2 linked regions of the Neodiprion lecontei genome follow. The protein of the gene in region 1 interacts with the protein of each later gene in a biochemical or structural test. Links are inferred from orthologs where the notes say so. Each region holds a gene or a part of one and is shown on either strand. Other genes may lie near its edges. The genes, in order: high mobility group protein HMG-I/HMG-Y and protein arginine N-methyltransferase 6.

Region 1 (5,809 bases):
CAGAATAGAGAGCTGGATTAGTCAAAATTCCATTTGCAGACATGACACCTTGACATTGGACATTTTCATACATATATTTTGCATCTCGTAAACTTTTAACATCTCCATTAGCAATCAAAGGTAGCTGAATAGAGTCTCTGACAAGTTTCAACCCCTCAAGATCAATTGATTCGTTACGCATTTGTGGTGTTCTCGCATGAACGGTGATGAAAGATAAACCTGCTTTCTCTAATGTCTGACAAAACTCTACAGTCTTATGAATTTCTTTGAGTAACCTAATTTTGACGGACACTGTAAAAGGATGAGGTATTCGATTTCGAACTTGTAGTACTAAGTCTTTAACTAGTTGAGGTTTAGTTAACAAGTCCACACCATAGCCATCTTTTATAGCCCACCGCTGCGGGCATCCACAATTTAGATCCACCCCACCAACATACCTGTTGACAAATAAAAACTTCAAGTAAATGCAGTGAACAAAGACATGAACCCTATTATCTCTTACACACTTTGTACAAAATCTCTCATTTTGAGCTTAGGATTATCCTTTCATCATAACAATCTTGTAAATACTTACGGTGCGACCATTTCAGCTGCTCCAACGAAATCACCAACTGTCTTTGCTGCAAACTGAGCGATCAGTGGTATGTCATTTTTGTGTGTAGTGAATTCATTGTTGCGGGCCTTTGCAGACTGCACGAAAGAGTCAGCCATTATCATCGGGGTGAAGCATAAGTCGCAATTGTATTTGCGAACCAATGTCCTGAATTGCAATCTGTAAATGGTTTAAATCGTTATTACAACGATATCGACCTCACAGTGTCAGCTGTCCGTCAGATGAGGTTAATGTCAACTTCTTGTTTTTACTCGATTGCAACTTTACGAACTTGCTGTATCTAACCATGGGAGCGCAGACTTTCGTCATTCGTGGTTCTTGTAACAGTTCTAGAATATCGGTCATCATTTCTTATTACAAATAACACTTGAAAATCAAGCCAATTGTTTTTTTAAATGAGTATAGCGACTGACTTTTCCAGAAGGGATTATTGAAAAATACTCAAATGTATTCGACCGACTTGATATATTTGAAACCGGTAGTAGTTTACTGTTGCCTCTACCATTACCTACAGATCAGAATAATACATGTTATCAAGAAGCCTTCAAAGATGAGCAGCTTTTGAAGCGAACCAACCGACGAAAATTACTCAATGCTTTGACGCTGTTTTCTCACATTCATTAAAAATTCAAAAAATTCTCCCGATGATTAAACAAACTGAAATATAAATGCAAAAATAACCGCCCCCGGGTGGGCTCGAACCACCAACCTTTCGGTTAACAGCCGAACGCGCTAGCCAATTGCGCCACGGAGGCACGTCGAGTATGATGTCATTACAAACTGTGTAATATTTGATCCTTGGATAACAATAGCTACTCCATTATTAATATTTCATAATACTTCGAATGAATAAAAATAAATTGGATAGTTCCTATTTAGGTGCCACAGTCTGTTTTATATCATATGTCGGAGGGAATCGTTCATGAAATAATCATATAACATAACCGTTCTAATTTAATAACGGATCTTGAAAGAAAACTAAAGTCTTTGACACACTTATCCATTTGAGTGTGCTGTTATGATAAAGCTGTAAGTTGTAAAAAGGAGTCATTCTTAATTCACCTCAAATGTTTCAGGGGGTTTAACACAAGCAAATCGATCCAAACCTCGCCGTGGAATGATGGCGGGTGTATACGACCACGGTCTACATTTGGCGAAGTGGGAATAAAGCTTTTTGTAAATTTTATTATAAAAAATTGAACCTACAGAAAATTTTTATCACATTTTTACTAACGTATCGATACTGTTACGGCAATAAATATCCCCTGTAAAAAATAAATGAATTTTCTATCGGAGGTAATTTTTTGGCGGGAAGCATCCCAGACAGGGGAGAACCTGGCGGCAACATTTGCAGTCATTCACTCAGCCTGGTCCGCGGACGTCACAGCCACAACTGCGTCTCCCGTAGCCCCGTCCCGCGCGCAGGCCTTTGTCTCCAACGCAAACCTGAGGTAAGTCCCGTCTACGTTTTCTCTACAAATATTTTATTTCTACTCGGATAAATTTATTTTGGGGGGTCAAAAATCGGCAAAAATTCTTAGTTTATTAGTTTAATTTTACTCAGATTTTTGTTTACCGCTGGCTATAATACTAGCAGAGATATTAATTGAAATCTAAAATTCACCAACGCGTACGGGTGATGCCATTTGTAGCTATGGCGTCTCTCGGCAGTCAAGCCTTCATTGAATTATTTTCCACGCAATTTCGTGAACGTATCTTTGGACTGACCTTTGTTGAAACTTTTGTAGGAAAAAATCACTCGGTAAAAATTTATCGCTGCAAAGTTGTTTTTTTTAATTCCGTTCGAAGCTTCGTTCAAAGGGTGGGCTCAATCGGGTAAATACATAAATCGCATTAAACAAAGCGTTTTGAAAATGGCGGGCGCGGAATTTTTGTAAAATATAACACGGTTGATTTTGAAAGTCAATTTTTTCATAGTGTTTACAAACTTGTTACTGCAATCGGTGAATAGGCATCGTCAAAAATCAACAAATACGACACTTTGGTGACGACTTTTCTCTGAAGATTCTACTTTTCTTCGGTACGTAGTTGTGTATACGACGTAAACCTAGCTTTCCTCCGTTGCGCGCGCTTCTAGAAAGATATTTTGCAGGGGTAGGTTCAGTGGTAGAAGCTGTGAAAATCGATAGATACCACTAACATCGGCGTATTCACTGTAAACCTCATTAATTATCGCGAAAAACGGGTTAAACTTTCCACTTCAATACGTGAAACAACCTGTAAAATAATAATCTAGAAAACTGCCTATCACTTAATCGGGCGGGGATATTCACGAGATTCAACTGACTATTTCGTTGTAGCTTTCGATTTTTTCAACAATTTTATTCAAAATTTGGAAGAAATAATCGTGCGAAAGAATCCTAACGGCGCATATCGTAATAAAACTCATCCTGCAAGTTGATATATCCGCATGAGTGACGTCATATCGAATGTATTCCATTATTGTTTATACACGCGAGTCTGGAGGGACGCCACAGGGATGCCAGAGTCATTTTCCCTCCTGCGTCCGCGGGAAGCGCCATCTTGAAAAGTAGTCACTACAAAATATGTAAACAATCCGAAAGACCTTTCTTTTTTACTTTTGCGCACCAGTATCAAGTGGATTGAATTATTAGTATATTTACGAGGTACGGGTATGTTTAGCGCTTTACCTATAGATGAATATGATGGGAACCGGCTACTCATCGAAGGTATAAATAGTAGTCTGTGTTACTTTGCGTAGTACGCGTTACGGACATGGCGCCATTCTAATTGATGCCGACCATAGCGCTGCATCCATTTTGTGGAAGGTTGAAGAGCTACTGTGGTAGAGTGGGCAAATTTGATTGCCAATTATCTTGTTAATGATTTCGATCATGATGGGCGGGGAAACATACACCACGAACTCTTCTCTCACACTTTGACCATCACTTCACTTTTGCTTATTTTCAACTACTTTCAATACGGAATTTTCGTTTAGTTAATATTTGGACTTGTAAACGACTGTGTGATATTAAGAATTGATGAATTTTGATTAGGAAGTATAACAAGAAGACCTCGCTCATTTCTCAAATATATTAACAAATTATGTCATGTTATGTGATGTCTATCTCATAATTGAATGCTGAAGAATATTTTTATGTGTATTATTGTACAATGATGATGAGTAGAAGCAAAAATCTTGTTGATAATTTCCCGATAAAAATCATTCTTTACACTCTTGATTGTTTGAACATACCAGAATGCCATTTTCACAGTACTTAACATTCGTACAATTTAATTAGTATCTAATGCAATTTATGAGTACTTTGATTATTGAAACAATCTTGGCGACGATTGCGTCCGAATTTTTAATTATTAACGATGACCGAACGTTTGGAAGTTATTAAAACCGTATGTGCACTGAAATGTTTCAGATTGCTGATTTAAAGTCCATTCCACAAAGCAATAAAGATGTCAGACGACGGTTCACCGGTTGTTGAAGATAAGAAGAAGCGTGGTCGTCCAGCAAAAAGCCCTGTCAAAGAAGCAAAGAGGAGAGGCAGACCGCCAGTGGAAAAGAACAACGTTGTAACGAAGTCTGACGATGACGATGATGCCCCAGTACCTGTCAAAAGAGGCAGAGGGCGCCCAAAGGGAACGCATAAGAAGAAGGTATAAACTATGCAAGGCAAAATCTGCAAAGCAACTAGAATTCTTATATACTCCTTCAAGTTATAACCAATTATCCGCAACATGTTATTGTGTTACAAAATTACTTTTAGATTTCAAGATTATTCATACCAATCCAAATATTCTTAATTAATGAAAATTCGTCATTGACTTTCATAGGCTAGTGCAGTAAAAGTTGCAACTGCGCCGCGTGGCCGTGGTAGACCGAAGAAGGTAGAAGAAAAGCCAGAAAGCACTGGTGAGGAAGAAGATGAACAGGAGGAAGAGGAAGAGGAGAATTGAAGTAGCTGAGTCACCCTAGCTTTGATTCACTCTCAGATACCCTTGAAAAAAATCCTCGTTCCTTTATTTTAAGTTTTACTATTCCATAACTTGTTGAAAGCTCACACCAAGTGACACCGAAATTCATAATATTCCGAATTTAATAACAAAAGGAGGTAGAGAGAAAAAGTTTTAAAAAAGTAAAACAAAAAAAAATGAGAAAATGAAAAAGCTAACAGAAGTTATTTGAGAAGCCAAGCTTTCAAAGAACACTACTTGTATAAACCGTATGTAATGTATTTTTTAGTATTTAGACACGTTTTGATTTATTACTAAATATTGAAAATGTGAACAAACATTTAAGACTTTAGGCATCCAAGCCCGGGTTCATCTGTACTGTACGACCCAATTTCATTTTTAAACAATGGTTTTTAGTATCTTCAAATACGATTATATTACCTTATGGCACTTCTATATATTAATATTATAAGTAAAAATGGCTCTGCTCCGAAATATAAGAAGCAACTAACTTCGTAATCACTAAATATCCGTAAACCTGGTGGAGTACTTTCCATGTGAAAAGATGTAGAAAGTATTGCTACAATGTCAAACAAAATCTTATTTCTGATTAAACATACATTGTGTGAATGTCAAATTTGTATTAAATAAACTATAAACAAAATAATTTGTAATAATTTATTCCTTTTTAGGAGTCCTCGCCGTTCTTTGTGTTGGGGAGTTTATATTCGACCTGTGTACCTAAGTAATTAATTGCATAAGGATTTGCATGCAGGAATTAACTACAGAGAATAACTAGGGGAAATCATTTGTGCATTTTATTATGCAAAAATAAGTAGGCATAATAGGATACGTAAGTTACATAATTAATGTGGGCTATAAACTATTAGTAGATAATACTGAAATTGATTTACTTGAAATAGGCAATCAGATATCGTTTACATTTGATTTCACTATATTACATGCTATGGACTAGATAGTTTTTATTCATACAGTGCCAACGCTGTATTCTTCGATATTCATAATATTGCAATATATGTACGAACGATATAAAAGTTAGATTATCTTTGGCTGATTGTACGTAGCAGTGATTAATGCTACTATACATTTACATGTTAATGCTGTACCTACTAAGTAAAACTTTTCGTTACTTTAAGCAACTGAAATAATACTAATTATAATTAATAATCGCTTTGAGTAAAAACGTGTCAACGTCAAGTGTGATGAATATGTGCTAAAATACTT
Region 2 (5,265 bases), about 4.9 Mb from region 1:
TCCTTCAAATAATTCTTCAATGACTTAGTTGCACAGAATACAAACTCGTATCTTTCTTGAACCAATAACAGTTTGCAATTTCACTTTGTTGTTGCATGTAGGAAAAAAAAATCCGAGGATGAGAACGACAATGCGAAAAATACTAGAGGAAGAAAATTAACCTAACATGAGGAGTAAATTCAATTATTCTTTGAATACGTTAATAAATACATACGATGGCACATGTTCTTTGCCAGAGTTATTAACAATTCACCAAAGAATACATATCAATTTACTGTGTCATTAACTGCTTTCAGAACTCGAAAGATAGAATTATAGTCAAGAAAATAGAACTCTGTTTCTTGAATCAATTTTCAAATGCTTTCCATTTTTAAACGCGTCAACGAAAGAAAACAACATCGAATTTAGTTCTGAGCATCACCGTCGTCACGCTAGCGGCGCTTGAGAGCTCGGCCGCCATTACGCGACGCCCACTGGCCAGTGATAGTTGATCATGGAAGTGGAACTGGTCGAATGTTGGCGAATAGCGTGCTTGACCCGTGTCCCGGTACGTTTAACCATGTTTAACTCGGTATTATGATTAGGTGTAAGTTTTTCTTACGAGTAGATTCCTTTAATCGGTTGACATAACAGTCGTGAGTGGATAAATTTGCTGTTTAATCACTCGGCGTAAGGCATACTAAACTTCGACAATCTTAAACAAGTGACTGCAACCGCGTTGAATATGTCAATTGTTTTACCTATTTGTTGCGACGCGACGTAATCAAGAAGTTGTTTTCTCCTATTCGCGTTCTCAGAAATATAGACTTGTTTAGCTTTGTCACAGCGTTTGGAGCTTACCCAAAGTGTCTAACATAAAACTAGATTCTCTACGTTTTTGCTACGAAATTATTACCGTGATCGTTAGATTCGTACTGGCGATTAAAATTCAGTGTAATGTCTTACACGTTTACTCTTCTACCATGTTGAAGTTATAAGTGACCTTATCGGAACAATTCATGTCGAGGAAAAACCGTTACTTCGTGATTTTGAAAATTGTTTGAAATTTAGTAAACCATAATAAATCAAAACATACTCATATACTGAAATTTTCGTTCCTTCAGTCAGTTTAAAAATGAAAAAATACTGATTTTTTTCGCAATGTTTCATTACGGTAACGTTACTAACTTCAGTCTTGTGATATTTTGAAAATGGTCGAATTCGTAATTCTTGTGTAACTTTTCGAGGTAATTATCTTTGAACTTTCTTAGTGTCGTGTTTACGGATAATAAAATAGTGATAGTGAGCTACCCGCTTGAGTGTGTTTGTGCGTTCAGATTGATCGTGAAAAGTGTATGTGAATATCCAGTGCATTTAATATACATACATCAAATTCAGGAGCCGGCTCGATGCAGCCGTAAGTGCATCAAAGTGATCAAGAGTGACATCCTGCAGGCGCTGAGCTCAAATGGCGAGATGACAAAAATTAGGTACGCCCCTGCTCTTTTTGGGTAAGAATATATTTTCATCGAACCAATTTATACTGAATCGGTGTCAATGTGTTGTGATATCGCATCAGGATAGATTCTAATACATAATTTATGGCTGCACAGGTATATTCTAAAGTGTATGTTTTTATTCTGTACTTTCCACCGTGCGTAGTATTAGCAAAGCTATATTAGAAACGCCGATTTTAAGATATAATGTAACAATTAGGCACTCTTTAGGTACTAGGTTAAAAGCTGCACTTATCAAGATGATTCAGATGCTTGGTTTTGTTTTATTAGAACATTTATTCTTACATTGCGTACATTACCACTAAAACATCGTTGAATCAGTCTTCGAGAAAATATGATAAAATTTCATCCTGTTTTGGATGCATTTTTGGATCTAGTCGCAGTCATTTGTTTTTGATAATCGCTACGTATCCATCAAGTCTGACTGCGCCTTTTGCGCGTAGACTCAATACTCCTCGTTTCCGAGAACAACCCGCACACTTCACGACGTCTCTTGGCTGTAACGCACGCACTCTTTAAATCTTGTATACACCGTGGCTGACAACGACATTCCGAAAATTGTAGGTTATGAGTGTCACGTGCAAGAGTTAGCCTAGCATACATCGTCGTAATTTTAGTTTTTAGGAAGATTGACAAAGAACGTAATTTAACAATGGACACCGGCGATTCAACAGATGAATATTTCAAGAGTTACGAGGATCTGGAAGTAAACATTCACTTACGTCACTATTGATATTTACTGATGGAGACAGTTTGAAAGGAAATGATTGATTGTTTGAATTAATATTATTATCCTCCTGTCGATCATTTCCTACTGACTTCTCACTGACGACGGTAGTTTTTTTTCATTGCGCTTGTCTCCACAGGTTCATCGACTGATGCTAGAGGATAAACCTCGTACCCTTGCTTACAAAAATGCAATATTTGCTTGTAGCGATAAATTTCAGAACAAAATTGTAATGGATGTTGGTGCTGGGACGGGTATGAAGTTAACACTTTTATCACATAATAATTAATGAAGTCGATTTGTTAATTATGCAAAGAACTTTAGTTGCGAAAATTTAGACACAAGTGAAGTCTTACCAGTAATATCTGCATTGATTGATGATTCTCAACAGGTATACTATCGGTGTTCTGTGCCAAAGCAGGTGCTGCAAAAGTTTATGCTATAGAAGCAAGCCACATGGCACAAGTAGCAAAAGAAGTAGTTCGCGAAAATGGTTTTGAAAGTATCATAGAAGTGATTCACAGTAAAGTAGAAGATTTAAAGAGTGATGATATCGGCAAAGTCGATATCATAGTCTCTGAATGGATGGGATTTCATTTGATGCACGAGGGAATGCTGGATTCGGTACTTGTGGCCAGAGATCAATTCTTGAAAGAAAATGGACTCATGTTCCCTAACGAGGCCAAACTTTATGCATCTCCTTGCGAATTACCCACTGTGTATGATTTTTGGAACGATGTATACGGAGTCAGTATGGAGTAAGGAAATACATTTGTTAGCATGGTCGACTATCAACATTAGTATTTAATTTCTGGTTGATTCTATAGATGCCATCACGAGTTTAAAACAGGCTGTCAGCATTCTGACTATAGCATGTTCAAGCCTTCCTTTCGTTTTAAAATTCTCTTACTTTTTTTGAATAGGTTTGTCAGCCGGGAACAGAGACGTTTGAAGTCTAAAAAGCCAAATATTTCGTCTTTAGAGGCAAATAACTTACTGACGGATGGAAAGCTGCTTGTTTGGCTGGATCTCAGTACAGCAACTATGCCAGAATTGTTATGTCTCGGTGGTGAATCTACGGTCGTACCGTGCAATCGGAACGGAATATATCAGGGCATTTGCGTATGGTTTTCCGTTACATTTCCGGATGGTTCGGAATTATCGACTAGTCCAGAGTATGAATCAACTCATTGGAAACAAAGTATTGTAGTACTCCCACACGATATTCCGGTAACGAAAGATGAACCAGTAGCATTCAAGCTCGAACTCCGTAAGGATTCTTTGAAACCAAGAATTTATAATGTGGAATATACTCAGTTAGACCCAGAAAACGTCGAACACGATATTCCCTGTCATTGTTATATGACCAAGTGTTTAGTAATAAAAGCTTATCTCTCTGAACATCCAGAGGAAGATATCCAGGGTAGAGAAACTTAATTTTTACTACGAAGTCACATGTTTTGTGATTTCAAGTACCATACTGCATCTATTCTTGCTTATGCAAGTTTCCTTGTGAATAAGCATATGGGTTAATTCTCGCGAAACGGGACGGGTTTCAACGGATGGTCATCGAATTTGACGCGCGGCTAGAATCTCATTCCTTACTATCTTGTGAAGACTCTTCCATAGTGTTGGGTTCATACATAAATTCTTGACTCCTCGCTAACCGTGATTGAACGAATTTTCCTTGGACTACTCAGTTCACTTGGAAATTTTACCGATCACAGTTCAAGTTGTTAAAAAAGTGTGCTATAATTTTCAGCTGGGCGTTTGATTTTGTTCACTGGCAATCAATTATCGCAAAAATTGGATTGAAAATTGAAACAGTTTTCTTTTTCAATCATTTTCTACCGACAAACAAGCAAGAAAAATGTCCAGCTAAAAATTATACCACAACTTTTATCACAACCTGAACTGTGTGCAGTAAATTTTTCAAGCGAATCGAGTAGAGTACAGAAAATCCTTCAATCGTGATTTGCGGGGAATCAATTTTTGCTTGCGACCCAAAACCATAGAAGACTCTTCACTAGATAGTAAGGAATGAGATTCTACCCGATATGAACCTACATAGAATGTTCAATTGTTATATTTGTTTAAATATTTCAGATACATTTTATGTAACTTTTATTAAAGATGTCTGCAATTTTAAGTAAGCCATTTTTTGATACAAATAATTCTGTAGTATTTGTTGTTATGTGGTATAAAAGCCGGATCTAAAGACTACTATTTGTACATGGGATTTTACTTCCAACTATTTTTTAAATAATTTGGAAATAAATTGTGCCCATTGAAGTAAGGGTGCTCAGAAAAAATGGTGTAATACATAAATTTTCCTGCACACTTTGACAGTACTACGTTCTAGTCTGTACGTGTCTACCTGAGTTTTTATCCCGCATAGATTGTCGATTTAACGATGAATTTGTCGGATTTCTTTTTACCATTACTCCTGAAAAAAGCTCGTGTTACGTCATACGCGTATGTTTAGTTGCCTGCCGTTAGGCGTACAGTCAATCGGCGTGATTATAATGGTACGCTTGTTTTATTTGCATGGAGAGAACCGACTGGATATGAATGACATTTGCAGAAGAAAAAAAAAGTAAAACAGCTGACAATTATAATTTTTACTTGAAAGGTTATGGAATGTAGTCAGTTATTTCAATACTGCGAACAACAAGTAGTAATCAAGTGAGCACAGTGAAATGTTATCGTAATATTAACAAAGATGCGAAAAATATCACTCAGTAACGGAAATGATGGGCAGAGATCGGGAAGGTAACTGACGTTCTTCTCAAGGTTATGTTTATCCCAAGATGATTTATCCAATATTTCGTTGATATCTAATTATTCAATGGACATAATACTTCGTTAATATTACTAAATAACTATTTTTCAATTGGAACATATGAACTTTTCCATGCTAGTTTCTTGTGAATTCTCTTTGCTCTAATCCCTAAAATTGAACTGCTTGCTATTCCCATTCATACTTTGTTACACAACAGTCAACTGACTTTAGAACTTGGTTTGCTGCGGAGTATTCGTTAA

The links.
Region 2: of the proteins of high mobility group protein HMG-I/HMG-Y (region 1) and protein arginine N-methyltransferase 6, one has a biochemical effect on the other in vitro, tested with the Homo sapiens proteins (2 studies listed by BioGRID, with this or other methods). The link is inferred for Neodiprion lecontei from reciprocal best matches to the Homo sapiens genes HMGA1 and PRMT6.

What each region holds. Positions count from the first base shown.
Region 1 is NC_060260.1:24,417,253-24,423,061, forward strand, and holds high mobility group protein HMG-I/HMG-Y, read left to right. Parts: upstream 1-1,912; 5' UTR 1,913-2,064; intron 2,065-3,285; exon of another isoform or gene 3,286-3,667; intron 3,668-4,029; 5' UTR 4,030-4,066; coding exon 4,067-4,267; intron 4,268-4,444; coding exon 4,445-4,567; 3' UTR 4,568-5,231; downstream 5,232-5,809. Other genes in the region: tRNA-dihydrouridine(20a/20b) synthase [NAD(P)+]-like, read right to left, coding at 1-437, 575-772, 885-961. UniProt on the Homo sapiens protein: HMG-I/Y bind preferentially to the minor groove of A+T rich regions in double-stranded DNA. It is suggested that these proteins could function in nucleosome phasing and in the 3'-end processing of mRNA transcripts.
Region 2 is NC_060260.1:29,298,712-29,303,976, reverse strand, and holds protein arginine N-methyltransferase 6, read left to right. Parts: upstream 1-1,974; 5' UTR 1,975-2,148; coding exon 2,149-2,202; intron 2,203-2,362; coding exon 2,363-2,477; intron 2,478-2,614; coding exon 2,615-2,981; intron 2,982-3,146; coding exon 3,147-3,660; 3' UTR 3,661-4,537; downstream 4,538-5,265. Other genes in the region: lysM and putative peptidoglycan-binding domain-containing protein 3, read left to right, coding at 4,946-4,995. UniProt on the Homo sapiens protein: Arginine methyltransferase that can catalyze the formation of both omega-N monomethylarginine (MMA) and asymmetrical dimethylarginine (aDMA), with a strong preference for the formation of aDMA.